Linked DNA regions of Notamacropus eugenii. The protein of the gene in region 4 binds, or shares a complex with, the protein of the main gene of each other region. Links are inferred from orthologs where the notes say so. Each region holds a gene or a part of one and is shown on either strand. Other genes may lie near its edges.

The links.
Region 1: TMEM237 (region 4) and TMEM231 share a complex: the UniProt entries of both Homo sapiens proteins name them as parts of the tectonic-like complex. The link is inferred for Notamacropus eugenii from reciprocal best matches to the Homo sapiens genes TMEM237 and TMEM231.
Region 2: TMEM237 (region 4) and TCTN1 share a complex: the UniProt entries of both Homo sapiens proteins name them as parts of the tectonic-like complex. The link is inferred for Notamacropus eugenii from reciprocal best matches to the Homo sapiens genes TMEM237 and TCTN1.
Region 3: TMEM237 (region 4) and AHI1 share a complex: the UniProt entries of both Homo sapiens proteins name them as parts of the tectonic-like complex. The link is inferred for Notamacropus eugenii from reciprocal best matches to the Homo sapiens genes TMEM237 and AHI1.

The regions. Positions count from the first base shown.
Region 1 is NC_092872.1:712,648,943-712,656,121, reverse strand, and holds the start of TMEM231 (transmembrane protein 231), read right to left. Parts: upstream 3,179-7,179; 5' UTR 3,013-3,178; coding exon 2,874-3,012; intron 2,321-2,873; coding exon 2,151-2,320; intron 1-2,150. UniProt on the Homo sapiens protein: Transmembrane component of the tectonic-like complex, a complex localized at the transition zone of primary cilia and acting as a barrier that prevents diffusion of transmembrane proteins between the cilia and plasma membranes.
Region 2 is NC_092875.1:35,714,349-35,721,818, forward strand, and holds the start of TCTN1 (tectonic-1), read right to left. Parts: upstream 3,025-7,470; 5' UTR 2,258-3,024; coding exon 1,981-2,257; intron 1-1,980. UniProt on the Homo sapiens protein: Component of the tectonic-like complex, a complex localized at the transition zone of primary cilia and acting as a barrier that prevents diffusion of transmembrane proteins between the cilia and plasma membranes.
Region 3 is NC_092873.1:221,568,016-221,575,778, forward strand, and holds the start of AHI1 (jouberin), read right to left. Parts: upstream 3,082-7,763; 5' UTR 2,730-3,081; intron 1-2,729. UniProt on the Homo sapiens protein: Involved in vesicle trafficking and required for ciliogenesis, formation of primary non-motile cilium, and recruitment of RAB8A to the basal body of primary cilium.
Region 4 is NC_092877.1:297,804,464-297,811,664, forward strand, and holds the start of TMEM237 (transmembrane protein 237), read right to left. Parts: upstream 3,029-7,201; 5' UTR 2,689-3,028; coding exon 2,647-2,688; intron 2,216-2,646; exon of another isoform or gene 2,078-2,215; coding exon of another isoform or gene 2,041-2,077; intron 1-2,040. Other genes in the region: MPP4 (MAGUK p55 subfamily member 4), read right to left, coding at 5,923-6,114. UniProt on the Homo sapiens protein: Component of the transition zone in primary cilia. Required for ciliogenesis.

The DNA.
Region 1 (7,179 bases), on a different chromosome or scaffold from region 4:
AAGCATTTACTAAGGGTCAACTATGTGTCTGCCACTGTACTAAGGAAAGAAAAAATCACTCTTTGCTTTGTTGGAGCTCACAGTCTAACAGAGGTCTATCATTTAGCTGGAAATCACTAAAGTATATGATGTGAGATGTGGGTCTAAATTAATTTCTTGTCCAATTAGTAGTCAATTTTCCCATGTTCCTTTATTAAATCATGAATTCTTGTCTGGGATTTTATCCTCTATAAAAGGTTTGCCTTTTGTCTACATTTAGTTAGATGCCTAGGATTATTCTTCTCTTTCATATGCCTCATTCTGCTTTTGACCCAGTGCCAGATAATTTGGATGGCTGCTTTTGTAATAAGTCTGGAAGTCATTATTCAGTCATTTTTCAGTTATGTCTGACTCTTCATAATCACATTTGGGATTTTTGGAGATACTGGAACAGTTTGCTATTTCCTTCTCTAGCTCATTTTATAGATAAGAAACTGAGGTAAACAAGGTTCAGTGACTTGTCCAGGGTCACACAGCTAGTAAGTTTCTAAAGTCACATTTGAACTCAAGACCAGTCTTCCTAACTCTAGTTAAGGCATTCTAGCCACTGCACTACCTAGCTATCCCAAGTCTGGGAGTACAAGACTACATTTACAAGCATTTTAAATAGTGACTCTACATAGTCCAGTTTCTTTATTTTTCTATATGTATTTCAATATTATTTTGTCCAGTTGTACTTAAATCTTGGCATTTTGATTGGTACTGTATTAAGTATTCAAGTTAAGCTTGGTTGTATTGACATTTTCATCATATTAACTTATCCATCTTTGCACACTATCCCTTTAATTATTTAGATCTTTCTTTATTTTAGTCATTATAATTTTATAGTTGTCTATATATAGGCCATGCATATTTCTAGGCAGAATGATTTTCAAATATTTGGTGCCATTTATTATTATGGTAGATGGGGTTCTTTGATCTCTATTGCTAGCAAATAAGACTGCAAATGATTTTAGTGAACTCATCTTGTTTTCTAAGACCTTCCTCAACTCATTTATTGTCACTATTAATTTTTGGTAGGAACATTTGGATTTTCTAAATAGCCTAAATAGCAAATAATATCTTGAACTCTTTGTTTTTAATGTTAATAATTTTAGTTTCTTTTTTTTGTCTTATTTGCAATTGCAAACTATAAATTAAAATAACTCTAAGGTATGTATCACTTCCCACTCATCAAATTGGGAAAAATATGGTAAAAGATGGAAAAAGCAAATGTTGGTAGAGCTATAGTGGAGCTACGAACTGATCCAACCATTCTAGAATATAATTTGGGAATATGCGACAAAATTTACTAAACCATTCATACCCTCTGAGCTAGAAATTCCACCACTGGGCTTATATCCACAGAGGTCAACGACAGAAATAACGTTCCCCATTTGCACCAAAATAGTCATAGTTGTTACAGCAAGAATTTGTAACAGAAAGAAATTAGAAACAAGCTACACCCCCAATGACTAGAAATGCCTCAACAGAACAGCGTATGAATGGAAGAAGAAGCGCATGGTACGGTGGGGAGAATGCAAAATTTGGAATCAGAAGACCCGAGTTTGGATCCTGGCGATGCCACTTTTTCACTGTGTGACTGTCAGTAAATAATGAACCTTTCTGGAAGCCACTTTCCTCATCTGTGAAATAAGATGATTGAAATGGATGACTTCTGTGGACCTTTTTAACTGCTGTTATGATTGTAATAAAATCCCATCTCACTATCACAAAGGATAAATATGAAGAACTCAAAGACAGGTGGAAAGACTTGTGTAATCTCATGTACAGAGAAAAAAGCAAGACCAAAGGAACAATATAGACCTGAATATACTGATTGAATGAAGTCCACCCTAAAAAGCAAAAGAATTCAGGTCAAATCCATGGACTTCTGTGGGGAGGGCAGAGCTGAAATACTCTTCCTTTCTGTTAAGAAATGATAAACTACAAGAGTGGAAAAATCACAATTTTTTTTTTGTCTATGACAATCATGATATTAAGATGGTTTAGCTTATTTGATGTTTTTTTACAGGGAAGTATTATGGGAGGTTATTTATTGGGAAATGATCAATATGTCAAAACAAACTGTCAATAGCAAATTCTGCTTTAGGAGTATAGGAGCCACCTACCCATACCACTGGCAGCCGAAGATTATCCCCTTGAAACTGGTTAAAATTGGGGAATGTGCTCCAGGCTAGATACTCTCCAGAATTAGAGCTTAACAAAGCCACAAACAGCACCTCATGTTGGTACCGAACAGTCGGCTGCTCCTCATAACTGCTGCGCTTCAACCAAAAACCTAGACAGAATATACAAGTCAGAAGCAAGGCATGGAGAATGAAGCTCTGTGCCCAGGCCGTGTTGAACACCAACAAGTCGATCTAGGGGCCAAAGAAGCTGAAAGGGAGATGAGAGCACACACAAGATGAGGGGAGATGTGACACACTAGGAGAATGAGGCCAAGGGGTGTACGCCAGGTTCTGGGGACACCATAATATTGCCTTGATGGCAAAGTACAGAGGGCAGTGTAGGTGAGGTTGGGAGGGCCACAATGTGTTGGCAGACGTCTGCCTCGGTCTGGGGTGGGGGCTTCTGGATGGCCGGGGTCTGGGTGGGGTTTGGGAGGCACACTGAAGGGGGGTGTCTGGATGACTTGGATCTGGGGAGTTTAAGGGACACAATGTGAGGGGGGCCATCTGGAAGGCCTGGGTCTAGGGGCTGGGGGGGCGGGGAACGACATGGGGGCGTCTGGACGGCCTGGGTCTAGGGGCTGGGGGCGCACGACATGGGGGCGTCTGGAAGGCCTGGGGGGGGGGAAGGGGCAGGGCCCCTTCGGGCTGGGCCGGGCTCACCGTGACTCCGGAAGGCCACGAGCAGCGGGGGGATGTAGGTGAGGCTGGAGGCCAGCAGCAGAAACAAGGCGGCCTTGGAGCACAGCCCTGCGCGGTAGATGATCTCCAGAGGGTGAGAGTACAGATCGTAGAGGGCCATGGCGAAGGCCGCGCTCCTCGCTGCAGGCCTGGGCTTAGGGAGCCCGGGGCGGAGGCCTGGGCTGCACGACTCACCAACGCTTACCAGATTTGGCTTCTCTCAGTGGCCATAGCCTAGGTCTCCACGGTAACCGTCCTACCTCGGTGCGTGAGCCAATAGCAAGGCCGCGGCTGGGGTAGAGTCGTTCTCAGCCAATCATGTAACGACGTGAGGGGGACGGGCTCCGCGCCGGCGAGAAAATGTTACTGTGGTCTACTTGTGCCAAAGATACCTTGTATCCCTGCTCCCTGCGGTGATCTATGCCAAGAGCGCTAAGAACATTTCTGAAACCTTGCGTGTAAACAGAATAATCTTTTATCTTTTCGGATAAACAGCATTGTAGGTATATTTTTGTCAGATCGCCCAAGGCAATATCTGTAGCCAGTCCAAAGGAAATGAAATTCCCGTGCATTTCCTACTTGGTCTTAGGAAGTATTTAGGGACCGAAATCAAATGGAACACTTCATACGTATGTGCCACTAGCTATCTTTAAAGCACTGGGTGCACAACTCTCTGAAGAGTCAATCAATAAACATTTATTAAGCGCCTAGTATGTGCCAGCACTGGTTGTGCTAAGCACTGGAGATGGAAAAAAATAAGGCGAAAGGCATCCTCTGGAGCTCACAGAATTAGGGGGAAAACATCATGAAAACGTGGTTTCAGCAAAATGTTTGTAGCAATACCATTTGTAACAGCACAAAGTTTGACGCCTAGAAATAAAATTGTCTGTTTGGATATCAACTCCTCAAGATTGTTTTCAGTATGAATTCGCAGTACAAAAGAGAATTATTCGAGATCTTTTTTACAACGAATTTACTCCAGAACAGATTGACCGTTTTATGTTTGCAAATATTGAATTTTCACAGTCCCTAAAGACTAAAATCTTGCCTGTGACCGAAAGGTCAATAAAAGAAAGGCACAAATATTTTCAAAGATGATTGGTGTATTAAAAGTGATGTAAGGGGATTCACTGAATATATACATAATTGGAAAAGAAGTAGCATGTGACAAGGGCAACAGATAGCATATGAATGACTCAAATGACATACTGTTGCCAAAGAAATGTAAAAAGACTTAAGAAAGGGCATTTTTCCTGATAGCAAACCTAAATTTAGTTATTTACAAATTCCACATATTGCTCTTGGTTTTGATCTCTAGGACCAAACCAAACTAGTGTAATCTCCGCTCCAGATAAAAATCCTTTAAGTATTTGAAGACAGCTATCATATTCCCCCATTCCCACCCCCAGTCTTCTACATCTCCAGGCTAAATGTGTCCAGTACTTTCAATAGCCCTCATATGTCATAGAGTCAAAAAAGATAAGCATCCTGTTTACTGTCTTCTGAACCACCTAAGTAGATAGGTGGTGCAAGTGATAGAGCCCTGAGCCTAGAGTTAGGATAGACTTGCCTAAAACACTTATTTAATAGCTATGTAACCTTGGACAAGTCACTTAACATGTTTGTCTTCTTTTCATTATCTGTAAAATAGGGATCATGATAGCACAGGAAAAAAATGAGATATATTAATAAAGTACTTTTCAGACCTTAAGGCACTATATAAACATTATTATTGAAGATAATTTTGGCAAACTTGATTTTTTGTTTTTGTTTTGTATTTCGAGGCAATCAGGGTTAAGTGACTTGTCCATGGTCACATAGCTAGTAGGTCAGGTGTCTGAGGCTGGATTTGAATTCAGATCTTCCTGACTCCAGGATGAAAACTACATTTTAAGTCCTCCAGTTTTGTTGGGTCTTCCAGTCACTGGTAATTTAAGTCACTTCTAAGTTCTACTAGGTAATCTCTTCCGAGATCAGTTTACTTTCAAAGTATCTTGAAGAGACAGGATTTTTTGGGATAGAGAAAGAAAAGTTCAACTCTTTTAGAAAAGGGCTAATTTGTAGAATCCTTAAAGTTCAACCATAGTTCCTTTGTATTATTAAAGACCATGTCACTCACTTGCCTAAGAGGGGCCCCAGAGAGCTATTTTTGTGTAATTTTTGTGTATTTTTTTTTTAATTTGAATGGCTTTTTGGAAAAGACCATGCAGTAAACCTGTCATTGTACATGAACATAGCCAGCCATTGAAGAGTGGTATAAAAGATCCCCACAGGGAAAAACTGTAAACCAAGGCAGATACCTGGAAACAGATTATTTTTTTTTTTATTAATTTTTTTATTTTTTTAATGTTTAACAATCACTCAGATTATTTTTTTATTTAAGAGATCAGAGAATTTTGCCACAAGGTTATTTTTGGGATTCTTTGGTGCAAGTCCTTAGAGAGGACACTTAAAATGATAATGCTAAAATTTCCCCAGGATCCCAGAAATATTTCTGGGATTGGGGATATGGACAAGTGTGCCAACTGTGCCCCCATTTAATCAGCCAAGAACAGGAAGGTGTGCTGCATCATTCTAAAAAGTTTGTACTCTCACTCTGGAACCCTGAACTATTATTGTAATTAACTCTCTCTCTCTCTCTCTCTCTCTCTCTCTCTCTCTCTCTCTCTCTCTCTCTCTCTCTCTCTCTCTCTTCCCCCTTAGTCTACCTCATCTCTCTTAATAGGAGTTTTAATACAGGAAGATACCCCAATTTTTGGCGGGTTTTTAAACTATTGAAGATATATATAAGATACATATCTCTCTCTCTCTCTCTCTCTCTCTCTCTCTCACACACACACACATATATATCTGTAATCTCGCTAGTACTTTAAAAAAAATTTTACATTGGTATTCATTAGGGAAATTGGTATAGTTTTTTTTCTCTGTTTTGGCTCTTCCTGGCTTAGATATCAGCAACATATTTTTGTCATAAGAGGAATTTGGTTAGACTCCTTTGTGAATTTTCCCAAATAGTTTATATAGTATCAGAATTAATTGTTCTTTAAATGTTTGGTAGCGTTCACTTGTACATCTATCTGGCCCTGTGAATTTTGTCTTAGGGAGTTCATTGATGGCTTATTCAATTTCATTTTCTAAAATGGGGCTATGTAAGTATTCTCTTTCCACTTATGTTAATCTGGGCAATTTATATTTTTGTAAATATTCATCCCCTTCACTTAGTTGTCAGATTTATTGGCATACAGTTGGGCAAAATAGTTCCTAATTATTGTTTTAATTTCCCCTTTGTTGGTGGTGAATTCACCCTTTTTATTTTTTGATACTGGTAATTTGGTTTTCTTCTTTCCTTTTTTTAAAAATTAAATTAACCAAAGGTTATCTATTTTATTGTTTGTTTGTTTTTTCATAAAACCAGCTCTTGGTTTTTAGTTCAATGGGTTTTTTTACTTTCAATTTTATTAATCTCTTTTTTGATTTTCAGAATTTCCAATTTGATGTTTAATCAGGGACTTATAATTTGTTCTTTTTCTTGCTCTTTAAAATTGCATGCCCACTTCATTGGTCTTCTCTTTATTTTATTGATATAAGCATTTAGAGATATAAAATTTCCCCCAAGTACTGCCTTGGGTTGCATCCCTTAAATTTTAGCATGTTGTCTCATTATTGTCATTCTCTTTAATGAAATTATTTATGATTTGTTCTTTGATCCATTTATCCTTTAGGATTAGATTTAGTTTATTTTTATTTAATTATCTTTCCATGGTCTTCTATTAAATGTAATTTTTTATTGCATCATGATCTGAAAAGGATTAATTTAATATTTCTGCCTTTCTGCATTTGATTGTGGGGTTTCTTTGTGCCCTAATACATGGTCAATTTTTTTGTAAGTGCAATGTACTACTGAGAAAAAGGTATATTCATTTCCATCCACATTCAATTTTCTCCAAAGGTCAATCATATCTATCTTTCTAAAGTTCCATTCATCTCCTTAACTTCTTTCTTGTTTATTTTGTGGTTAGATTTATCTAGTTCTGAGAGGGGAAAGTTGAGGTCCCCCACTAGTATAGTTTTACTATCTATTTCTTGCTATAAGTCATTTAACTTCTCCTTCAGAAATTTAGATGCTATACCATTTGTTGCATATATGCTTAGAACTGATATTACTTCATTGTACCTTTTAGCAAAATGTAGCTTCCTTCCTTGCCTCTTTTAATTAGAGCTATTTTGTTGAAGATCGTGATTGCTATCCTTGGTTTGTTTTTTTTTTACTTAAGCTGAAGCATAAAAG
Region 2 (7,470 bases), on a different chromosome or scaffold from region 4:
TTTCCTTACCTCTCCTGTACTTGACACAGAATTCTGCATAAAGTAAGCATTCAATAAGTAGGATCACTGATTTAGAGATGAAAGGCACCTTAGGGGTCACTGAGTCCAACTTTTTCATTTTTCAAAAGAAGTAACTAAGTCCCAGAGGGGTTCAGTGGCTTGTTCAGTGACACAGGCAGTGTCTAAGAGAACAGTCAAGCCCAGGCCCTGCTGTCTCCAAACACAGCATGCACTCTGTTCACCATATTAAGCCCCTTATATGTAGCTAGCTGACACTGTAGATACAATTTCTGACCTGCAGTCAAGGAAGACCTGAGTTCAAATCTAACCTAAGACACCAGCTCTATGAAACCTGGGCAAGTCACGACATAACCTCTGTTTGCCTCAGTTTCCAGATTATAATAGCACAAGATTGTGGTGAGGATCAAGCAAGATAACACGTATAACATATACCACATAATCAAAGTGCTTTGCAAACTTCAATATACACTATACAGCTATCTGAGGTGTATGGGGTGTTCATGGAGGACTAGCACCTCTGGCGTGAGAGCTTGCCATGATGGAGTAAACCATCCAGCAGACAGGCTAAACCAGGCTAAGGATAACTGATAGGCCTCAAAACCCATCAGTGAGTTATGGAGACATCTACCTCAAGTATGTGAAGGCTTTCCCCAGCAGAAAAGGTAGATAAGAACAATTTAGAGCTTAGACAAAATGACACCAAGGTCATCCACCACATTTAGGGCCATTGCCAGTTGTCATGACTTTTGTCTTGCTACTGGACTTGGATGACTTGGAAAGACTGAAGCTAACTCACTGAAATGCAGTTCACATGAGTCAAGATGTCACTGGTCCTTTTGGTAAATGAAGGACAAACAATAGAGCTGTTGTTTACAATTGTATACAATGCATTTGCCATATTGGGTTGACTCTTAAGGAGCCTAAGCATTTGTAATGCTTGTATTCACCAGTGGGCCAGATAGAATCTCAGCTAGATGCCCAGATGACTTGGGTTCTACTGGCTCCTTTCCTTTCCTGTCCTGTCCTGGCCTATCCTGTCCTGTCTTCTTCGGCAATGAAGGACGAACACAATACAATGCAAACATTTAAGGGCCAGCTATTATGATATTATCCTATCTGTTCCTTGTTATTTCTTAATATACTTCTCACTTCATGAAGGCAGAACTTGTATTTCACCTAAAATACATATGTCCTCTAATGATGGGTGCCACAGTGTATAATGCACTGGGACCTAGAATCAGGAAGACCTGAATTTAAATCCTTCCTCAGACACTTAGTAGTTATGGACAAGTCATTTAATCCCTGTTTGCTTCAGTTTCCTTATCTGTAAAAGGGGTATAACGCAGCACTTCTCTCACAGGGCTGGTATGAAGACTATATGAGTTAACACATATAAAATGGTCTGCAAACTTTAAAGCGAAACATCAATGTTATTACAAGTAAGATGCACTCCTAAAATTCACTTTGCTTTTTGTTTCTCCAGCCATCTCCTGTCATCCTGATGAATATCAAGCCACTGGAGGAGAAGGTGAGGCTGGTGATCTTGCACAGCCCTCACTCACTCAGATCAGAGTCAACTGCAAGTCACGTCGTCATCTTGATGTCATGGACCTCTTCCAGAACGAAGGACAAACGCAACAACAGGCAGGGTCTGGCACACAGTTTGTCGCTTGATTGGGAGAGCTCTGCATACAGCAGGGACTTAACAGATGCTCCGGCTGCTGTATCTATGAGCTAGGGTGTCACCTTTTCTTTCCACAGACCCGGTACTTCCTCTACACGAGGTTGGGGCTTAAGAGATGCTCTGGCATCAGCTGCCCGCTGGGACCTCACCCCCTCCTCCGCACCAGTCTCCCCCCCTCCCCCACACAGAGTGCACTCTGTTCACACAGCAGGCACTTAGCAAATGTTGCTGCAGGCCTCCAGGTCTGTGTCCTCCCCTGCCTCCTCAGTACCCACCATTCGTGACCGGGCTGGGCCTCAGAGCAAGCCGCATGTCCTCCGCTGGGGCCAGGGGCGACTGAGAAGTGGCCCCGGCGGCCTCGCGGACCCCGGTCTCGGGCCTGTTGTCCCTGGAGCCCGGGGTGGGGCCGGGGTCGGGGTCCGGGATGGGCCCAGCATCGGGGCCCTGAGGAGTCTCTGCGGGGGCCCAAGGTGGGGGTTCGGAGTCTGGAACCTGCGCTGCCCCCAGGCCCAGGACGACGAGCAGCAGCAACAGGAGGCACCACCCCCCCATCTCAGGCCACTGAGCCACCGCCACGCCGGAAACGTGCGTTGTCTGGGCAACAGCAGCAGCCGAGCGCGGGGCATCACGGGAGGCGGGCAGGAGAAAGGGAGAGGCCGGGGCAGGCTGGGAAGAGTGGCAATGGCGGGGCGGGGCTAAGCCTGGGTTCCGGCCTGGGGAGGGGGAGGATGATGTCAGGAGAAGGGAGGCACCTCTGAGGACGCGAGGTTGCCGCAGTCCCGGGCGCAGAGCGAGGGGAGTCTAGGCAGGGGGATGGCGGCGGGGGAGCCGAACAACGTTTAAAAAGGGGCGGAGATTGACGTCAGCGCAGCCTAGCGAGGAGAGGGGAGTGGAAGGGGATGACGTCAGGGGCTCAGAGCCCTCCGTACCCTCCCCCCACCGTACCCCAGCCTGGGGACAGAAAGATTAATGTTAGGGAGACAGAGAAAATCTAGGGAATTGGAAGGCATAACGTCAGGTGCTCAGAATAGAGACTGAAATGTGACGTCAGGGGCTTAGAACCTCCCCCACCCCCATGACCCCGCCACCACCTCCCCCAAACACACACACCTATCCCGGGAAAGGGGAGAGAATAAAGGGCACAGAGCACGTCTAGGGAACTGGAAGGGGATGGCGTCGGGGGCTCAGAGCCCTCTCCTCCCTCCCCCCTCACCACCATCCTCCTGCCCCGGAGAAAGAGAGGAAGATCGATGTTAGGACCGAGTAAGCGCACACACACGCACACACACACACACACACTCCCCTGTCCTCCTTCCCCCCTCCCCCGTATCCCCAGCACGCGGAACGAGAGGTAGTTTAATGTTAAGGGCACAGAGCAAATCTAGGGAACTGGAAGGCCTGACAAGGGCGGCTCAGAATAAAAAATAGAAGACATCAAGGCTTTAGAGTCCCCCACCCCAGCACAGGCTGAAATTTTACCCCTGGAGATTAATGTCAGGAGCAGCAGACAGCATGTGTAAGGAGCTGAAAGGAGTTAACATCAGGGGTGCAGAGTAAAGTCTAGGGAACTGAATGGGGATGACATCTGGGTTCTCAGAGCCTGCTGAGGGATAGAGGAGACTGACATCAGCAGTTCAGAACCAGATTGGGGAAGTAGAGAAGACCCCAGTGATGCTGATGACATCAGCAGTGCAGACTAAAGGCAGGGAACTGGTAGAGACTGATGTCAAAGAGCAGACCTAGGGAAGCAGAGGGGGAATAATGTCAGGGACATAAAGTAAGTCCAGGGAATTGGAAAGGGATGACAACAGGGACTCCAAGGAAAGTTAAGGAAAGGAAGAGCATGACATCATAGGCACAGAACAAGTCTATGGAACTCTTAGAGTCTGATAGTGCCAAGGCTAAGGGAGAGGTTGAGAGACTGGCACAGTCTCCCTAGGCACAGAGTGGGCCTAGGGAACCTGAAGAGGTTGATGTCAGGCAGTGACCTAGGGAAGATGTGGGGACTAATGTCCAGAGTACAGACAGTGGCACCAAAGTAAAGCTAGGGAATGGAAGCAGATGGTGTCGTGGACACCTGGGGAATGGAAAATCACTGGAATCAGGGGTGGAGAACTGGGCTAGAGAACTGGAAGATAAGTGGGGGGGGAGGGGTACAGAGAGAGCCCAGGGAAGGGGAGGAAACTGATGCAGAACATAAGAGGAGGAGTGTGTCAGGGGGGTTAGTAAATTTAGGGAAATGAAGGTCATTGACATTCAGGGTTCAGAGCACAGCTTAGGGAATTAGAGGAAGATGAGTAAGGGGTGCAGAGGAAGGAAGGTTTAGTGTCTGGGAGGGGATGACATCAAAGGAGCAGAGCTATCCTACGAAGCTGGACAAAGGCCTGGGGACACAGCACTCTTGGAAAAGGAAGGTGATGGTCAGGAGAGGCAAGAGAGCTTGGTTAAGGGAAGGAGGATGAAAGCAGGGAGAAAAGGATTGAGGGGAGGAGAGAGTGGGATAGAGAGGGAAGAGCACTGGTCTTGGAGTCAGGAGACCTGGGCTTGTTCTGCTGCTGGAGAAAAGACTGCTGGGAAGGACCCTCAGATTGAATCCCCGATCTGCTGCTATGTGACCCAGAGAATATGACTTCTCCGGCCTTACTTATGCACAAAATGAGGTTGCATCTTTAAGGTCACTTTCAGCTCTAGGAGAAGCAGGCTAGCATCATCATAAATGGCAGGAGAAGCATTGCAGTGAAATAACAGAAATATGATTTTGGGGTAAAATATGAGCAAGGTGGAGACTAATACGGTTTTGTCAAGATATTGAGGGAACAGGCTCAGAGCAGTAGAGTGACACATGGAGTAAGCAGAGCATGGATTAGACCAAGCTCCTTTAGCTCTGCCCCAAGGGGCTTCCCACTCCTAAACCCCTGACGTCATCTTCCTGTCTTTATTCTGAGCCCCTGACGTCATCCCTTTCCCGTCCCCTAACCTCGCTAGGCTGCGCTGACGTCAATCTCCGCCCCTTCCCTAGACTTGCTTGGCACCTCCGACGTCAATCTCCTCCCCAGCGTAAACGCTGTTCGGCTCCCCTGCCGCCAGCCCCCTCCCTAGACCGCCCTCGCTCTGCGCCCCCAACTAAGTCTCCTCGCGTTCTCAGAGGCGGCTCACTCCTCCTGACGTCATCTTCCCCATTGCCTGAACCCGAGGCCCCACGTCCCTGACGTCAATCCTCGCCCCTTGTTGGGGATGGTTTAGCCCCTCCCCTCCCGTGCCCCCTTCCTCATCCCTCCTCTCTGCTCCTCCCGTGATGCCACGCGGCCGTTGCCCAGACAACACGCGTCTCCCGCCTGGCCAGTCTGTGGCCTGAGCTGCGGGCTCAGGCTGCTGCTCCTCATCCTCCTGGGCTCACCCCGAGCTCAGCCACTTCTCTGTCCCTCCTGACTCTGGTCCCGAGGCCCCCAGAGTGGGAGGTGCAACCTGCCCTGAGGCCCAGCCCAGCACGGTCCAGGCTGACAGCCACACTTATTAGGCGCCTGCTGTGAGCACCCAGAGCACACTGTGCGTGGGGAGGGAGGGCGACTGACTGAGGAAGGGGACACCCCCTCCTGCAGATACAGCAACTGATGCCAGAGCATCTATTAAGCCCCTGCTGTGTGCAAAGGGAGACAGTGAGACCCCAGCTCACAGAGAGCAACCAGAGCATCTGTGAAGTCCCTGCTGTATGCAGAACTCTCTCAAGCAAGCAGCAGACAGTGTGCCAACCCCTGCCTTGCTAGATGCTGGAGAGACAAAACTCAAAGTGAATCTTCATTGTTATAATGATAGCTACCATCAAGGTTGCCCTTTAAGCTTTGCAGACCATTTTACATGTGTTAACTCACTGAGTCCTCACAACAACCCTGTGAGAGGAGTGCTGCTGTCATACCCATTTTACAGATAAGGAAACTGAGGCAAACAGGGATTGCCCACAGCTCCTAAGTGGCTCAGGAAGGATTTGAATTCAGATCTTACCCCCCCCCCCTCTAGGTGCAGTGCATTAGACACAGTGGCACCCACCATTAGAGGATGAATAGATTTTAGATAAGATAGAGGTCCTACTTTCATGAAGCTAAAAGTATTCAGGGAATAACAACAAACAGATACATATTATCATAATAACAGCTGGTGTTTATATGGCTACATGAATTCACACATTATGTTATGTAGCTATATTGCTGGTTGTCCTTTGTTTTCAAAGGATACAATGACATCATGGGTATTGCCTTGACTTCTGTATGAACTGGACTGAAGTGAAGCAGAGTTGCACAAAGCCCTCAGCCTCGTTCTCTCTTCCAGGGTCATAGAAGTCCCGTGGCAAGACAAAAGTTAATCTAAATCACTACTGATTAGACAAATGCAAATCAAAACAACTCTGAGGTACCACATCACACCTATAAGATTGGATAACATGACAGAACAGGAAGATGATAAACGTGGGAAAATTGGAACCCTGACTCGTTGGTGGAGCTGTGAGCTGATCCAGCCATTCTGGAGAGCAATTTGGAACAATGCCCAAAGGGCTACAAAGATGTGCATACCCTTTGACCCAGCAATATCACTTCTAGGACTGTATCCCAAAGAGATCATAAGACTGGGGAAAAGTCCCACATGTACAAAAATATTTACAGCAGCTCTCTTTGTGGTGGCCAAGAACTGGAAATCAAGGGGATGTCCATCAGTTGGGGAATGGCTGAACAAGTTGTGATATATGAATGTAATGAAATGCTATTGTGCTATGAGAAATGATAAACAGGAGGACTTCAGAGAGGCCTGGAAGGATTTATATGAACTGATGCCGAGTGAAATAAGCAGAACCAGGAGAACATTGTACACAGTAACAGACAGTGTGCGAGGACTGTTTCTGATAGACTTAGCCCTTCGCAGCAATGCAAGGACCTAAAACATTCCCAAAGGACTCTTGAGGCAAAATGCCATCCACATCCAGAGAAAGAACTATGGAATCGGAACACAGAATGAAGCAGACTATTTTCTCTTGTATTATGTTTTGGTTTGGTTTGGTTTCTCTCATGGTTTCTCCCATTCATTTTAATTCTTTTTATGCAACATGACTAATGTGAAAATGTGGTTAATAAGAATGTATGTGTAGAACCTATATAAGATTGCATGCTGTCTTGGGGAGGGAAGGAAGAGGGAGAGGGAGAAAATTTAAGACTTATGGAAATGATTGTAGAAAACTTGAAACAAATAAATTAATTTTTAAAAAAAAGACAAAAGTCAAGATGACATGGTGATTTGCCCAGGGTTCACATAGTTAGTAATATCTAAGGTCGGATATGAAGTCAGGATTTCCTGATTCCAGGTCAGGAATTTTATCTACAATATCAGCTAGCTACATATAAGGGGCTGTGCTCACTCTGTGAACAGAGTGCATGTTGTGTTTGGAAACAGAAAGTCCTGGGCTCAGATCTTCTCTATGACACTGCCTGTGTCACTGGACAAGCCACTAAACTCCTCTGGGACTTAGTTACTTCATTGTAAATTGAAGGGTTGGACTCAATGACCTCTAAGGTCCCCTCCATCTCTAAATCAATGACCCTATTTATTAAATGCTTACTTTGTGTAGAATTCAGTGTCAGGTGCTTGAGGCGGTACCAAGTTTTGTTTTTTTAATTCATTTTGAACTTAAATACAAAAAGACCCCCCCCCCAAATTTCCATAGACACATGACATAAAAAGAGAATTACATATGAAATCATGAAGTTGCATTTCACCATTTA
Region 3 (7,763 bases), on a different chromosome or scaffold from region 4:
CGATATATCAAAAACCACAATGGGGAAAGTCACAATGTGGAAGAGATACTCAAGTGGTAATATAAGTTTATCTTACTCAACAGGAAAGTAGGAGAAAAAAAGACTATGGGAAGGGGTAGGGGGATGACAAAAGGGTAGGCAGATGAAAGAAGGCAGTTATCAGAAGCAAAACAGACTTTAGAGGACGGATAGGGTAAAGAGAAGAATAAACAGAAAATAGGATGAAGGGAAATACACAGTAATTATAACTGTGAATATGAATGGAATGAACTCATTTATAAAATGGAAGCAGATAGCAGAAGGATTAGAAACCAGAATACAATAATATGTTACTTATATGTTGCTTGAAACAGGGAAATACACATACACACGCACACACAGATAAAATAAGGGGCTGGAGCATAATCTATTTGCTTCAGCTGACCATGCTTGACTTCTCTATAACTTTTAACAGTTAATCACCCTCTTCTCCTGGGTACTCTTTTCTCTCTACATATTGGTCTATTCTGGTACTTCCTATCTGTCTGCATATGTCTTTTCTAAAATAACTGCAGACAAAATAAAATATGTGGGAGGCTACCTGCCGGGATAAACCCAGGGACTATATGAACAAAATTACAAAACACTTCACACAAATAAAGGAAGATCTTAATGGTGGGAGAAATATTAACTGCTCATGGACAGGTAGAGCCAATATAATAAAAATAATGATTCTATCACAAGTAATTTATTCGGTGCCATAGCAATCAAATTATCAAAAAAAATTATTTGATAAAATTAGAAAAAATAATAACATAATCCACATGGAAGAACAAGTCAAGAATGTCAAGGGAATGAATGAAAAAAAATGTGAAGAAAGGCAACCTAGCAGTTCCACATTTCAAACTATATTACAAAGCAGTAATTATCAAAACAATCTGGTACTGGCTAAGGAATAGAATGGTAGGTCAGTGGAATAGACCATGGCAAACTAGCGTTTAATAAAGGCAAAGATCCAGGCTTTTGAAGTAAGAACTCAATATTTGACAAAAATTGCTAGGAAAACTGGAAAGCAGCTTGGAGGAAATAAGGCATAGGCCAACATCACACAACATCTACCAAGATAAAGTCAAAAATAGATAAATGATTTAGACATAAAGGGTAATATAAGTAAATCAGAGAGCATGAAAAAAACGTACCTATCAGATATATGGCTAAAGGAAGACTTCATGACCAAACAACACATACAGAGGATCACAGGAAATAAACTGAGTAATTTGATTACATTAAATTAAAAACTTTTGTACAAACAAAACTAATGCAGCCAAAATTAGAAGGAAAAAAGAAAACTCTGTGTGTGTGTGTGCAGATTTTACAACAAAATTTCTCTGATATAAACCTCATTTCTCAAATATATAGAGAACTGAACCAAACTTACAAAAATAAGAGCCATTCCCCAGTTGATAAATGGTCAAAGGATATGAACAGGTAGTTTTCAGAAGAAGAAATCAAAGCTATAAACAGTCACATAAAAAATGTTCTAAATCACCAGAAATGCAAATTAAAACAACTCTGAAGCACAACCTCTCAGCTATCAGGCTGTATGTATAAGATAACATAAAAGGAAAATAACAAATGCAGAAGGGGATATGGATAAATTGAGACACTAATGCACTGCTGGTGGAGTTGTTAACTGGTTCAGCCTTTTTGCAGAACAATTTGGAACTACACTCAAAGGGGTATAAAACTGCATACCAGCAACACCACTGTTGTTGTAGTTCAGCCATTCAATCATGTCTGACTCTAAGTGACCCCATGGACTTTTATCTATGGGGTGTTCTCCAGTGTTACCTCATTTGATAGATAAAGAACTGAAGTAAATAGAGGTTAAGTGACTTGCCCAGGATCACACAGCTAGTAAGTGTCTGAGGTCACATGTGAATTCAGATCTTCAAGCAAAGTGAAGTCAGAACATTGTATCCAGGAACAGTTATATTGTAACAATGAGCAACTATGAATTACTTAGTTGCTCAGATCAATACAATGATTCACGACAAAATGCCAGAGTACAGATGATCTCCAAAAGCAGACTGCAGCATATTTTTTTACTTTATTTGTCTTGGATTTCTAACTCCATCAAAAGCAAAACCAAACCAAACCTGTGTAACAAAGTGTGCACACACAAAAAGGAAAAAACTCGTGTAACAAAATATGCAAAAAAGGGAAAGAAAAACAAAACGTGTGCGACAAAATACTCCCCCCTCCCCCCCACCCCCGAAGCCAACACCACGACGAAATGTTGCCAATATCTGGAAATGTTCTGCTAGTACAGGCTGGATAATTTAGGTGGGCTCTGGGATCCCTCCCTCCGGAATCAGAAAACCCGTGAGATTCTGGTGGTCAAGAGTCCGAAATACTAATCAACCGTGAGTTCTCGAAGTCAATTCTCGCCCCCTGGCGCCTCGCGTGGGCACAGACACGTGCAGCAGCGCGGTGGTAGCCACCACGGGCCTGGGCAAAGGCGCACGCACCCCCGGGGACGCGCAGCGCGGGCGGTGGGGGTGGGCAGGCGAGGGGCACGTCGGCAGCAGCAGCCACGTACCGCCAGCGCGAGGCTAAGGTACACACTCAAGTACGCAAGCGCGCACGCGCACACCCACGCAGGAGCGGCCCGGACAAACCCAAGTTAGCCATGGTCGCCGCAGGCCGGAAAAGTCAGCGGCTGACAGCCCGGAGAGCAGCCGACTCACCAGGAGGGGACGCGCAGCCCGGGGAAGCGGCTGGCCTCCGTCCTTTTCCCTAAATCGACGCCGGCTGACCGACCTAACCAACGGAAGGGAGAAGCGCTAGCGCCTAGCTCTGCCCGGCGGGAAGGAGAAGGCCACCGGCTCCCTGCTGAAACCGGCGGCTAGGGCTGGGAAGGGGGTGGAGACGAAAGGGATTAGAGGTGGGACGGGGAGGGAGAGGGAGGAGGACCGGAGTCTAGAGCTGAGCGGAGCGAGGCGTTTACGTCAGTTACCGCGGCGCTCCGTTGCCGATAGCAACCGAAGAGGTAGGAGGGGGCCCTCCCCTCCTGTTTCCTCCAGAGCTCCAGCCAATAGCAACGGCGCTGGCTGGGGCGCCTCAGAGAGCCCGGATTGGTCTGCCGGCCTGCGTGCCCCTCCCCTTAAGTGGAAGAGGGGCGGAGCCTACTCAGAATATTTAGGGACTGCCCAAATTCATCTCTAATACTACCCTTTTATCAGTCCTTGACCCGTAGGGCAGTCAGATGAAACTCTTCTCAGAGTCCTGGTTTTGAATGCATAAAATAAAAGGCATACATTAGAATGTAGGAAAGTTATCAAAATAGACGAGTAAAATATCCCTGCTTTAACCTTAGAAAGTTCTTCCTTTCATCAGGCTTAGCCCCGTGTCCTTTTCAGCTGTTATTAATTGATTTGGAAAGATCATTCACTTCTTCAAGTATTTTTTTAAGGACTTAGTACATGTAAGGGGCTGCCCTCAAGGAGCTTTCTTACAATAGGGTAAAATAAAACGTAGCTCTATAAATCAATATAAAATATATAGGACATAATTTTTTGGTGGGAGAATAATAACTGGCCAACAGGGAATCTAGAAGGGCCTCTCCTATGAGGCAGCACTAAAACTAAGCTGGAGAAAATTAAGATTTCTAAGAGACCTAGGTGAAGTTGTTGTGTATTCACAGTTCAAAGGCAAAAAAGGGAATATTGAATATGTGGAACAACCATTGAACCAACATACTCTATCGATAACCTCATCACCTGCTGTGGATTTCACTATGACCTCTATGCTGATGACTCCTAAATGTGCATATTTAGCCTCAGTCTCCCCTGTGCTTCAATCCTGCATCATTAAATTGTCTAGCGAATATTTCAAAGTGGACATCCTGAAAAATTCTTAAACTCTATAGGTCTAAAACTGAATTCATTTTCCCCTCCAAACCAGGAATTATTCATTTTTTTGTTAATTATTTCAATATAATTAGTTTTCTTTGTAATCCTATGTATTTTATCCTTTCAAAAAAATGTTGTGAGAAGTCAACAAGCATGTATTAAGCACTTGCTGTGTTCCTGGCACTATGCCATACAATGGGGTACAAAAAAAGACAGGAGTTGAAGGTGATACCTAAGTTGAGAGCCTAGGTGAACAGGAAGATTTATAGTAATAGGAAAGATCAGGAAGGGGAAAGTTTGGAGAGGGAAAGATAATAACAAAAACTTGGGGGATACACAAGAGTTAGTACACATGACCAGAATGAAAAAAAAAGTAAAAGAGACTGAGAAGAAGCAGCTAGGCAAGTAAAAAGTGAAGGGGTATATAAGCTTCACTAAACTTCTAAAGAGAACTGAAACAAAAAAGGTAAAGAACCCTTTCCCTAAACCCTCCCCTCTTCCAAACTTACCAATTACTGTTGAAGGCACCATAATTCTTCCAATGTGTTAGGTTCATAATCTTAGCATTATCTCACCCTGGCTCATACCACATGTAATAAGGTGCCAAATTTTGTTCTTTCTACCTTAACACCTCTGACATTCAAGCCCTTCTCTCCACTCACACAGTTGCCAACTTTCTCCAAGCTCTCATCTCACCTAAATGATTCCAACAGCCTCCTAACTGATGCTAAAATATTGTTCTTTAAGCACAGATTTCACCATATGATTCCCCTGCTCAGCCAGTTCCAATGACTTCCTATTGCCTCTAAGATGACCTTTTATTTAGCTTTTCTCACTCCATATAACTGGGCCTCAACCTCTTTGCAGCCTCAATGGACATTACTTCCCCTACCATAACTGCGACACAATCAAACTGGCTTTCTCTTTGCTCCCCACTCCCATCTCCCATCTTCCTAGAATGCATTCTGTCCTTGCTTGTTTACTCACTCATGCCTGACTCTTCATGACCACATGGACCATAGCAAGCTAATACTGTTCAAGAGGTCTTCTTGGCAATGATTCTGGAGTGGTTTGCCATTTCTTTCTCCAGTGATTCCCTCCTAACCAACACCCATTTAAGATGCAGCTCAGGTACTATCTTCTATATAAATACTTTCCTGGTCTCAACTCCTAGTGCTTTTCCTCCCAAACTACCTTGTATTTAATTACTTTGTATTGTATCTTATTGTATTTGTATTTATTTAATCTTTATACTGTGTATTTATTTTATATGTACTTTTTGTCTCTTCATTAGAATGTAAGATCATTGCAACCAGGAAATGCTTTATCTTTTGTACTTATGTACAGCTTGTAGCACAGTTCCTAGAAATACTAGGCACTTAAATTATTTGTTTGTTGACTAATTGCCTGGTAAGTCTGAAGAGAATGCTAAAGTGGGGACAGGGAGGGGCATAATGAAAAGATAGAACCAGATTATGGTTACTAGTAAAGTCCAGTCAGGGGGGAATAAACAACTATGTAGCATAGCACAAGAAAGCTTCCAGCATGTAGATCAAGGCTGAACTGGGGAAAACCTAGAGACTTTGATTGTGTAGGCTGGAAACTATGCATGGGGTCCAGTCAAAAATTCCAGGTTCATGAATGAAGTCCACAGAAACATGTCATCAGTTGAGGAGGGGAGAGCTAGGGAAAAATTTAGCCTGCAGATATATACCCCTAGGGGAGAGTTACAAACACTTGGATTCTATAGGTGTGTAGGTGTGATCCCAGAACTGGGTCAGGAGTCTGCAAAGCTCAGATCTAGAAGGCAATAGTTAGACCTGGCCAGAGCCTGAAGAAAAAGCTCTGAAAGTCAGCAATTTACTAGCCTGAGCCACCCAAGGTCCTTGAAGAACATGCAGCTCAGTATTTGGAGGAAGCATTAGAAAGACCCTAGGTGATACTGATCTGGGCCAAACAAAGCACCATTATTTCTTCACAGCTGACCTGGCACATTCAGAAGTTAGGGCTGAGTTCAGAAAGTAAGGCAGAAAAAATTAATATCAATAAAGAAATACTGTTAAGGTGCCAGATCTTTTATGTCAGCTTTTCCCCAGATTCTTTCCCTCCCTTCAGAGACATTTTTCTGAAGAAAATTCTATTACCATGTATCTCCTCTGTCAAAACTGGAAGCCACTACAAGTACCTCTCTTCAAGCAAGTGCTCAACAGTGATGCCCCTCTATAAGACACAAAGTAATTCTCCATCAATGAGGAGAGCTCTTATGCAAATAAGATTGAACCACTGGTTACCTCTAATTTTATGCCAATAAAACTTGATAATTAAAATGAAATAGATTACTATCTACAAATTTATAAAATATCTAGATTTATAGAAGAAGAAATAGAGGATTTAGATAATCCTGATTCGAAAAAATAAATTGAATGAGCTATAAATTAGCTTCCTAAAGAAAAAAAATTTATAAATCACAGCCATTATAAAAAAACACTCTAAATCACTAATAATCAGAGAAATGCAAATTAAAACAACTCTGATTTCCCACCTCACATTCAAGAGATTGGTAAAAATGGGGGGAAGGAAAGCAAAATGATGATGATAGGGAGACTCTGAGAAAGACAAGCATACTAATGCATAGTTGGTAAAACTACAGATCTGTCCAGCATTCCACAAAGTGATTGTAACTATATTCCAAAAGTCACTAAACTAATTGTGCATGCTATTTGACTCACTATTTGATTCTGCTTTTAGATCCCAAAGTGATACCCCCAAGGAGATCAAAGAAAGAGGGAAAAGATCCACACACAGAGAAGTATTTTGTAGTAATTCTTTTAGTTTTAGCAACAATACTGTAACTAAAAAGATGCCAAATCCCTTGGAGATTGGCTGAACAAATTATGTTATATGAATTTAATGGGATACATAGAACCATAAGAAATTACAAAAGGAAAGATACTATATGCACTAAAGCAGACTGAAATGAGCATAACCAAGATAAATTCTGTGGTAACAATATGAAGAAAAAAAATTCAAAAGACTTGGTGTTCTTAATTCAATGATCTTACACAATTTGAGAGTACCAAAGTAAGCTCACTTCCTGACAGAGGTAATGGACTCAAATGCAGAAGGGGTATATCCAGGGATTGACAGAGTGTAACTGATGCAATTTTCTATGTAGAAGAGGATAAGCAGCTTCCATTACAGAAGGTCATGATGTTGTGTAACGGAAAGAATTTGGAGAGACTTTGGAACATTTATAGACATTTTGTAATGAGTTTTGATTTACTGACTAGTGATAGAAATCATCCTCTTTGGCTACAGGTCTGGAACTGGAACTGGGGATGATTTCAAAAAGTTTTAATCATTGAGTCTATCTCAACCCCAACAGAAAAATGTTGGTTCCTGGAGGATATGGATGAATGTCTTAGTTTTCCTTATATTGCACATAGCATCTAACTGTCAATATATAATAAGGGGTAGCTCCTGGAGCCTTGATTCTTTAATATTAGAAATTACCAGAGGAGGAAACTACTTCAACCAATGCACCTTCTTTGAAATTATGGTATGAGAGAGTTGCCCAAGGTACTGAAAGGCACAGCAAATCTGTGCTTTCCAGTTTTAAGGCAGGCTATCTAACACCTACATACTGCTCTTCAAATGTTTTGCATCAATTTTGATAATTTACTCAATAATAGATTCAAATAGGTTTTATTTGAGAATGTTGAAAAGCAACCCCACAAGGGGGTGCCAGAACTTATTGTTTTGTTTTTGTTTTTCTTTAAAATTTTACTTTAGCTTTTAACAATCTATTTTCATTTGCTAGTTTTTTCCTCTTTAAGATCTTAGTCATTTTGGGAGGCCCCAGCCTGTACT
Region 4 (7,201 bases):
GGCAAGTCACTTAACTTCTCTCAGCGTCCCAGGCAACTAAGACAATGGTCTCCAAATTTTTTTGATCATGCATCCCTATCAAAAAATTTAGGGGCATACCTTCTCCATGAATGTATTTGTAAATGTATAAGTATTTGCTACTCTACTAATATTTTAATACATTATAAAAATAGGATAAAGTATATTTTAAAATATTTTTATTAATACAAAAGACTTTGGCTCTCATTAAATAAAACTGTGACTTATTTTTATCTTACTTTATTTAGTGAGAGTAATATAATAGAAAGTCCCACATTCTTTGGAAAATGTTGGTTTGCCACATTGTGATACAGTGATTCGAGGGTCTGATCCTAAGTTCAATTTCTTCCAGCACTAGATTTTAATGGCAGTCAGGGCTGAAAGATATCTCAAAAATCTGTAGATCCAAAAGGAAGAATGATAGAGTAAACAGAATGCTGGTTAAGAAGACCCAGGTTCAGATCCGGCCAGGTTCAAATCCTGTCTCTGACTCTTACTCTGTCTCTGACCACAGGTAAGTCATTTAATTTCTATAAAGGTGCTTATCTGTGAAATGGAGGGGGGGAGTGGACTAGATGACCTCTCGGGACCCTTCCAGCTTTAAGTTATGACCCTATAGGTATGACAGTGCTTACTAAACCATGAATTCATTTTTCATTTCCACCTACCAATTATTCAGAGGTTTGTTGTTGACGATGAAGTTGTTGCAATCTGACTGTTAAATGTCTTCTTCCCTCAAGTCAAGGGGTGAGAGACATGGTCTCTGGGGATCAGGTCCCAGATCTAGAGGGTGGTGGTTGTTCCAGATAAGAAAAAGGAAGCAGGACACACAGCAAGATGCCTGGGGAGGCCTTGGTTTCCCACCTGTAAATGGCCTTCATTTACTTTGAAGCTGTCTGGTTGGTTGGGGGCAATAATAGGGTTCTCGGCAGTCTGACTGCTTGATCCCCAAGCCCACTGACTGCAGCCACCCCTGCTGCCTCCCAACTCTTGCTAGCTGTCAATGCTGATATATTCACTTCCATTTATAATGCCATCACCTCAGCTGGGCCTGACCCTCTTGGCTTCTCCTTGCTGCAGATGCCTCCAGTCTAGTGTAAGCCTCTCATTCTTTTTGGGGTGAGGGAGTTTAGAAAAGAGCCTGGACAGGCAGCAAGGAACTAGTATGCCAAGCTCAGGCCAGGAAGATGTACCCTTCGACTTACAAAAGTGGGTCACAGGGGTAGAGGCAAGGAGGATGCAAGGACTTCGGGAAGAAGGATTTATTCCCATCACCCCCTCCCTGCACCTTCTTGCATGGTGAGGAGCTTAAATGGCTGACCATTCAGCACAGCCCACATTGGGCCCTGGCCAGGATGGAAGGGGTTGAGTCAGGTGGTGGTTACCATTAGATTAAATTGCTTTTTTGCCATTCTGTATATGTCCAGCACTTAACACAGTAAGCACTTAAAGGCTTGGCACGTAGCAGCCACTGAACAATTGTTTCCTGACATTTTCTTAGCACTCATGCACCCTCCCGGTGTGTGCACGCCCTGCTTTGCAGACCACTGTTTTAACACTTCTGCACTGGTGGAGGTGGTTGTCTGTTGGGACGTTCCTGATACCAATGAAATCACAGATCTAATAAAGAAAATGCCCATTAATTTCTTTTCTCTTATGTTTAGTGCAGGAACAATACTGCATATCGAAAAGGATAAGTGCTAATGACTTTCCTCCTAAACTCTGTCCTTAGCTGAACAAAGCTTTTATTAATATATTCAATACTATACTAACAGCAATGCTAATGAAAAATAAGAAGACAAATTAAAAAACGGTTGTATAAAAAGCGACAGCAGCACACAGGCCACGCGCAGAGACCTCATTTATCGTTTTGGGTCCAGGCTCCCTCCCAGGACCAATGGATCACGAGGATCTCAGCGGGAAGGCCGGCAGGGACTGGCCCTCTCATCACCCAAAGCCAGCACACCCACGCACGACGCCCCTCCCCAGTCACGGCGTGCGAAACAAAGGAAAACAAGTCACTGACGGAGGCTTACCACCTGTTTCTTCCCCATACCATCTAAGGCCCGCCTCGGAAGGAGCCGGCCACCGCGCGCCAGTGGGATGCCCGCACAGCCCGCCCCGGGCAGCGCCCGCAGCAGGGCAAGACTCCAGCCCGAGCCCCGCCCACTGGCCACTTAACACGTGGCGGGGAGGGCCCAGACGCGCCGTGCGTCGTTGCGTCACTAGGCCCCGCCCCCGAGGCCCGGCCCCGCTCCGCCGGTCTAGCTAGTGGGACAGACAGAGAAGCGTGGGTGTGACCGGAGGAGAGGGAGGGAAGCCAAGGGAGACTGGGCGCAAATGACGGCCTCCCCGCAGGCGGACCGAGCTCTCCGGGACGGGTGGGCGGCGAAAGCGGTCGGAGTAAGAGAGGCCCAGAAGCGGAAGTGGAAAAGGAGGACCCCAACTGGTGGCCCTGGGAGGGCGGGGCGTCGTCATGGCAGCGCACGCCCAAGCCGGCCGGCCGCCACCGGCCCTTTCCCGAGACCTAGGGCCCCGCACCCCTAACGAGGCGAGAGGGCGGGGTGCCCCCAGATAACGCCCCGGAGACCCCCCAGCCCCGCCCAGCACACCACCGCTGCGGCTCACCGGGCTGGGTTCCTCCTGCGGGGGCCCGGGCTCCGGCCTCATGCCGCGTCCAGCGCAACCTCCTGGGCAACCGCCGCCGCCCGGCCCGAGGCCCAGCCCCCGCCTCGAGCCCGCGCCGCGCCGCGCTCCGCTCCGGAGGTGTGGGCTGGGAGAGGGAGGGCGTGCGGGCGCCGGGGACCAGGCCGACTCCCGGCGGGGCGGTGCTTCCCGCCCTAGTCTGCCCCGAGGGCTGGAGCGCGTGTGGAAATGTGCGCGCGTGGGTGTGCACGAGGACGAGTGTGTGCGTATTTGTGTCCGTGTAGGAGTGTCCGTGTGAGTGTGGCTGTGTCTGTAGGAATCCTGCTGTCTTTGTGCGTGGTCTGCGTACACGTGTGTTGGCGTGCCTGTGCCCCCGCGTGTGTGTGAAAGTGTGTCAGTGCCTGTGCGCCTGCCTGCGGGCCAGCGGAGTGTGGCCAAAGAGCAGGGATGCCGGCCTCATCCTCTCTCACAGTCCTGTCTGTCTGTGAGAAACGCAGCTGAGGGCCACAGACGCCTAGCAAAAGACGGTGTGGAGCTGTAGCTAGATGGCACCGTCAGTTCAGACTGGGACCTCACTGGCTGTGGGACTGAGCCACTTAACCCTGTGTGCCTCAGTTACCTCATCTGTAAAATCAGCTGGGGAAGCACAGGCAAACCACTCCAGTGTCTGCCTAGCAAACCCGGGGTCATGAGAAGTTGGATACAGCTGAACCCCAGGGTGTTAGGTGCAGTGGTGGCCTTTGGTCTTTCAGCAGGTACATGGCATTTTAATGTTTGCTTTTAAATTCAGGACTTTTGGGGGGTCAGGGGAGTGGTCTACTCCCATGTAAAAATCCCTTCTACCCATGAGTGACTAAATGAAAGTAAAGTAACAATGGCTTTGGAGTTGGAGGATGTTCAAATCTTGGCCCTGCTCCTTGTAGGCCAAGTCATTCAACCTCTCTGGCCTTCATTTTTCTCTTCTATGAAATGAAGGTATTGGATTAGATGACCTCATACAGTCAGTGGTATGGCAGCGTGAAGTGACTGGCCCGTGGTCACACAGCTTGTCAGAACCTGAATCCAAGTCTTCCTAGGATTGGACCTCGGTCCAATGCCCATGTTGCTTATGAAAATAGCATTTTACATTTAGAAGGAACCTTAGAGGCCATCTAGACCACCCTCTCCATTTTACAGAGTAGGTAATTGAGTGATTTGCTCAGTCACAAAGTGTCCCAGGCAGGATCTGAGCCCAGGTTTTCTGAATCCCTAATCCTCCCAAATCCATACTCTTTCCGCACTGCGTCTTAGAATGAGGAACCTAAGACTGAAATATTTTAAAGTGTCTTTTTTTTTTAATTTGTACATTATAGATAGTAGAGTGGGTGGGAATAAGTAGAAATGTAGAAGGTCGGCAGTAAAACAGAGAGGGTGTGTGTGTGTGTGTGTGTGTGTGTGTGTGTGTGTGTGTGTGTGTCTGTGTGTGTGTGTGTGTGTGTGTGTGTTATCTTTCTCCTAAAATTTAAAGCCAAATTTCATTTTCACAATTACAACTTTACTTGGGGAAGATTCTTGGTATTTGTTCACTGTGTGATTAAACTGAGTGAGATCCATTTGAGAGTTCCTGTTCATATGCAAATCCAGGGATTAAGTCTGTAACGGTTAGAAAAGAGATAACTATGGTAGGCTGTTTGCCCTGACCCCTTCCCTCTTCTTTCCCCCAAAATGCTTGGAGTGGATACCTATGCATTTTTAACTTTTGAGAGATAGAAACACAAAATCAGAAATTTCACATGTTATTGCTAGGCTTGAGTTGAAAAGTCTGGCACTTTTTAATAGGTCTGAAGCTTTGATTTAACAACCAGAGAAACAGACTAAAAAGTGAAATTAAAGTGATCAATATGTGTGACCCTCAAATTAGATTCAGATACTAAGAAGACAATCACTAAGGAATGTTGTTGCTTGTTAAACCTTTGTTTCAGGAAGAACTTTGTGCAGCTTCCTCCAGGTAATGCAGCCCATTTTTTTCTTGTTCAGCTTTGGGCCCCATTTATTGTTCATTTTCAATGTCAATACAAGACTTGACCTAATAGACCACCTCTGTTTTTGGGTTGTCCATTCAACAGCATATCTTAGCCTGAACAATATATTTTTTTCTAACCACTTGTTTTTTGAAGTTATTTTTCCCTGCATGGTTAGCCCACAGTCCTGAGTGATCATGGATCTCATTTAGGAAGGAAAGAAAGAAGAAAAACAATCAGTTAATACATGCCCATTATGTGCCAGCTACTATGCTAAGTGCTTTACAAATATGTCATTGGATCCTCAAAACAACCCTGGGAGGTAGGTGCTATTATTAATCCCATTTTACAGTTGAGGAAACTGAGGCAAATGAAAGTTAAGTGACTTGCGCAGGGTCCCACAACTAGTAAGTTTCTGAGGCTGGATCTGAACTTAGGGAAAGTTGCTACATTCCAGGGTTTGATACAGTCAGCATTAAAGTTGAGGGTTACAACCCAAAGGACAATGGAGAGATCCTGGGATGTGAGGAGAGTTTCAAAGGAGAAACAACATAAAGGATATCAGAGATATGCATAATGGACCAAAAGATGGGCCACTAAAACAAAAGGATAACCAGTAGATAGATAGAATATGCATTTCATACCATAAAATGTCAAGACAACTAGAAGGAAGTCCCTAGCATGGTGGGTAGAGAATTGGTGGGAAGATGTGGAGAAGACTTAAATGGATGGGTCTCCATAATATGAGGGCCCTTATCCTTGAGATCATGGATCAATCATAGTTATGTACATAGTCAAAGATCCATGTGCTAACACCATGACAAACTTGTATAGTCAGGCACAGAAAAGGAACACTGACCTTAACTTAGAAAAGGACCTCAAACAAAGGATCTGTATGAAATCAGTTACCTGCTTATCATGAATCACTGTGATCTGGATTTACTAATGGAGCTTCTACGTCTGGTTCCAGATTAGCTATTCTGGGCATATTTTATTTTGCTGAAACTCAATAATGCAACACAGCACATCTGTGGAATTAAAACAGGTATGTATACTTCTTAACAATGAAATGAACAAGCTGTAGTGATGCAGCACTGAAAAAAAATGGTGCAGGTATTAGGTTATGCAAGCTATAAACCAAATCTTCCTTTTTGCACTAGCTCTTTCTCAGTGCTCCAAATCCTCTTAGTAAAAATGCTTCCTTAAAATTTGATGTGAGACTCCAGCCCCAAGTGGGCTAGGTGAGGAAGCCTCCTCGTTAAGGTTCGGTGTCAGAACAAATCCAGGTTGCAGGGATCCATTGTGGCTCATCCTGGGCCTGTTGCACAGCAGTCAACAGCTGTGCGTATGCCTCTTGCAGACTGTCATTCACAATCACTTGATCAAAAAACTGGCCAAACTGAGTTTCCATTTTTTTAGCTAACTCCTCCATCTCCTGTAGGTCTTCATCCTATGGCAGAGAGAGTAAGGATGAATGTGCACAATACAAAAAATGCTTAGTCTAGTAGTTCAGTTGCTAACATAGTTTTGAGACCAATGAGATAATTGGATCATAGCTTTAGAACTGGAAGACATATTAGACATCCTCAGAGCTTCTTAAACTGTGGGTCGTGACCCCATATGCCCTGGACCCAGAGTTTAAGAAGTGCTGAAGGGGTCAAGAGTGGAAAAAATTTCAGAAGTCCTGCATCTAGCTTAACCCTTTCATTTTACTGAGGCCCAGAGGGGCAGCTAGCTAGCTAGCAAGCACAGTGGCTAGAGCACTGGGCCTGGAGTCAGGAAGACATCTTACTGAGTCCAAATCTGGCCTCAGACACTTACTAGCTGTGAGACCATGGGCCAGTCTCTTAACCTCTTGCCTCAGTTTCCTCATCTGTAAAATGAACTAGAGAAGGAAATGGCAAACACGCCAGTGTCTCTTCCAAGAAAACCCCAAATGGGGTCATGAAGAGTTGGACCAACTAAAAAACAGCTGAACAACAAGAACAAAGAAAACTTCAGCCTAGAGACATTAGGTGATCTGTCCAAGATTTCATAGACAGTAACAGCCTGCTGATGGTAACATAGACAGTAACAGTCAGTGCTGCTGACACCAAAGTGAGCACCCTTTCCATTGAGCAGTGGAGTCAACAGACAGTACCTGATGAGCGACAAACATTGATAGACAAAATTCTTTATTCTTTCATTTTGGTCACTGGCAAATTTTACTTACTGTTTTCTCCTAGAGACAACCAAGAAAATTTTATGAAATACATCATTAAAAATAATACTGAGAGAATAACAAGATATATAAGCATATACAGGTGTTTGTAATTTTATAAAATGGATTTCTGAACCATAAATTGTTTAAAATAATTTTAAATGAGATGGGAGGTTTTTAAAGCACTCCTCCAGTGAATCCTTTTATAAAGCAAAGAATTCTTTTTAAAATGTGAATAAACAACCTCATTTCTGTTTCATAAATTGACTTTAGCATATGACATTGGATTTTCTCAAAGAAAGGAATACCTGCACAGAAAAAGAAAAATGAGATGGAA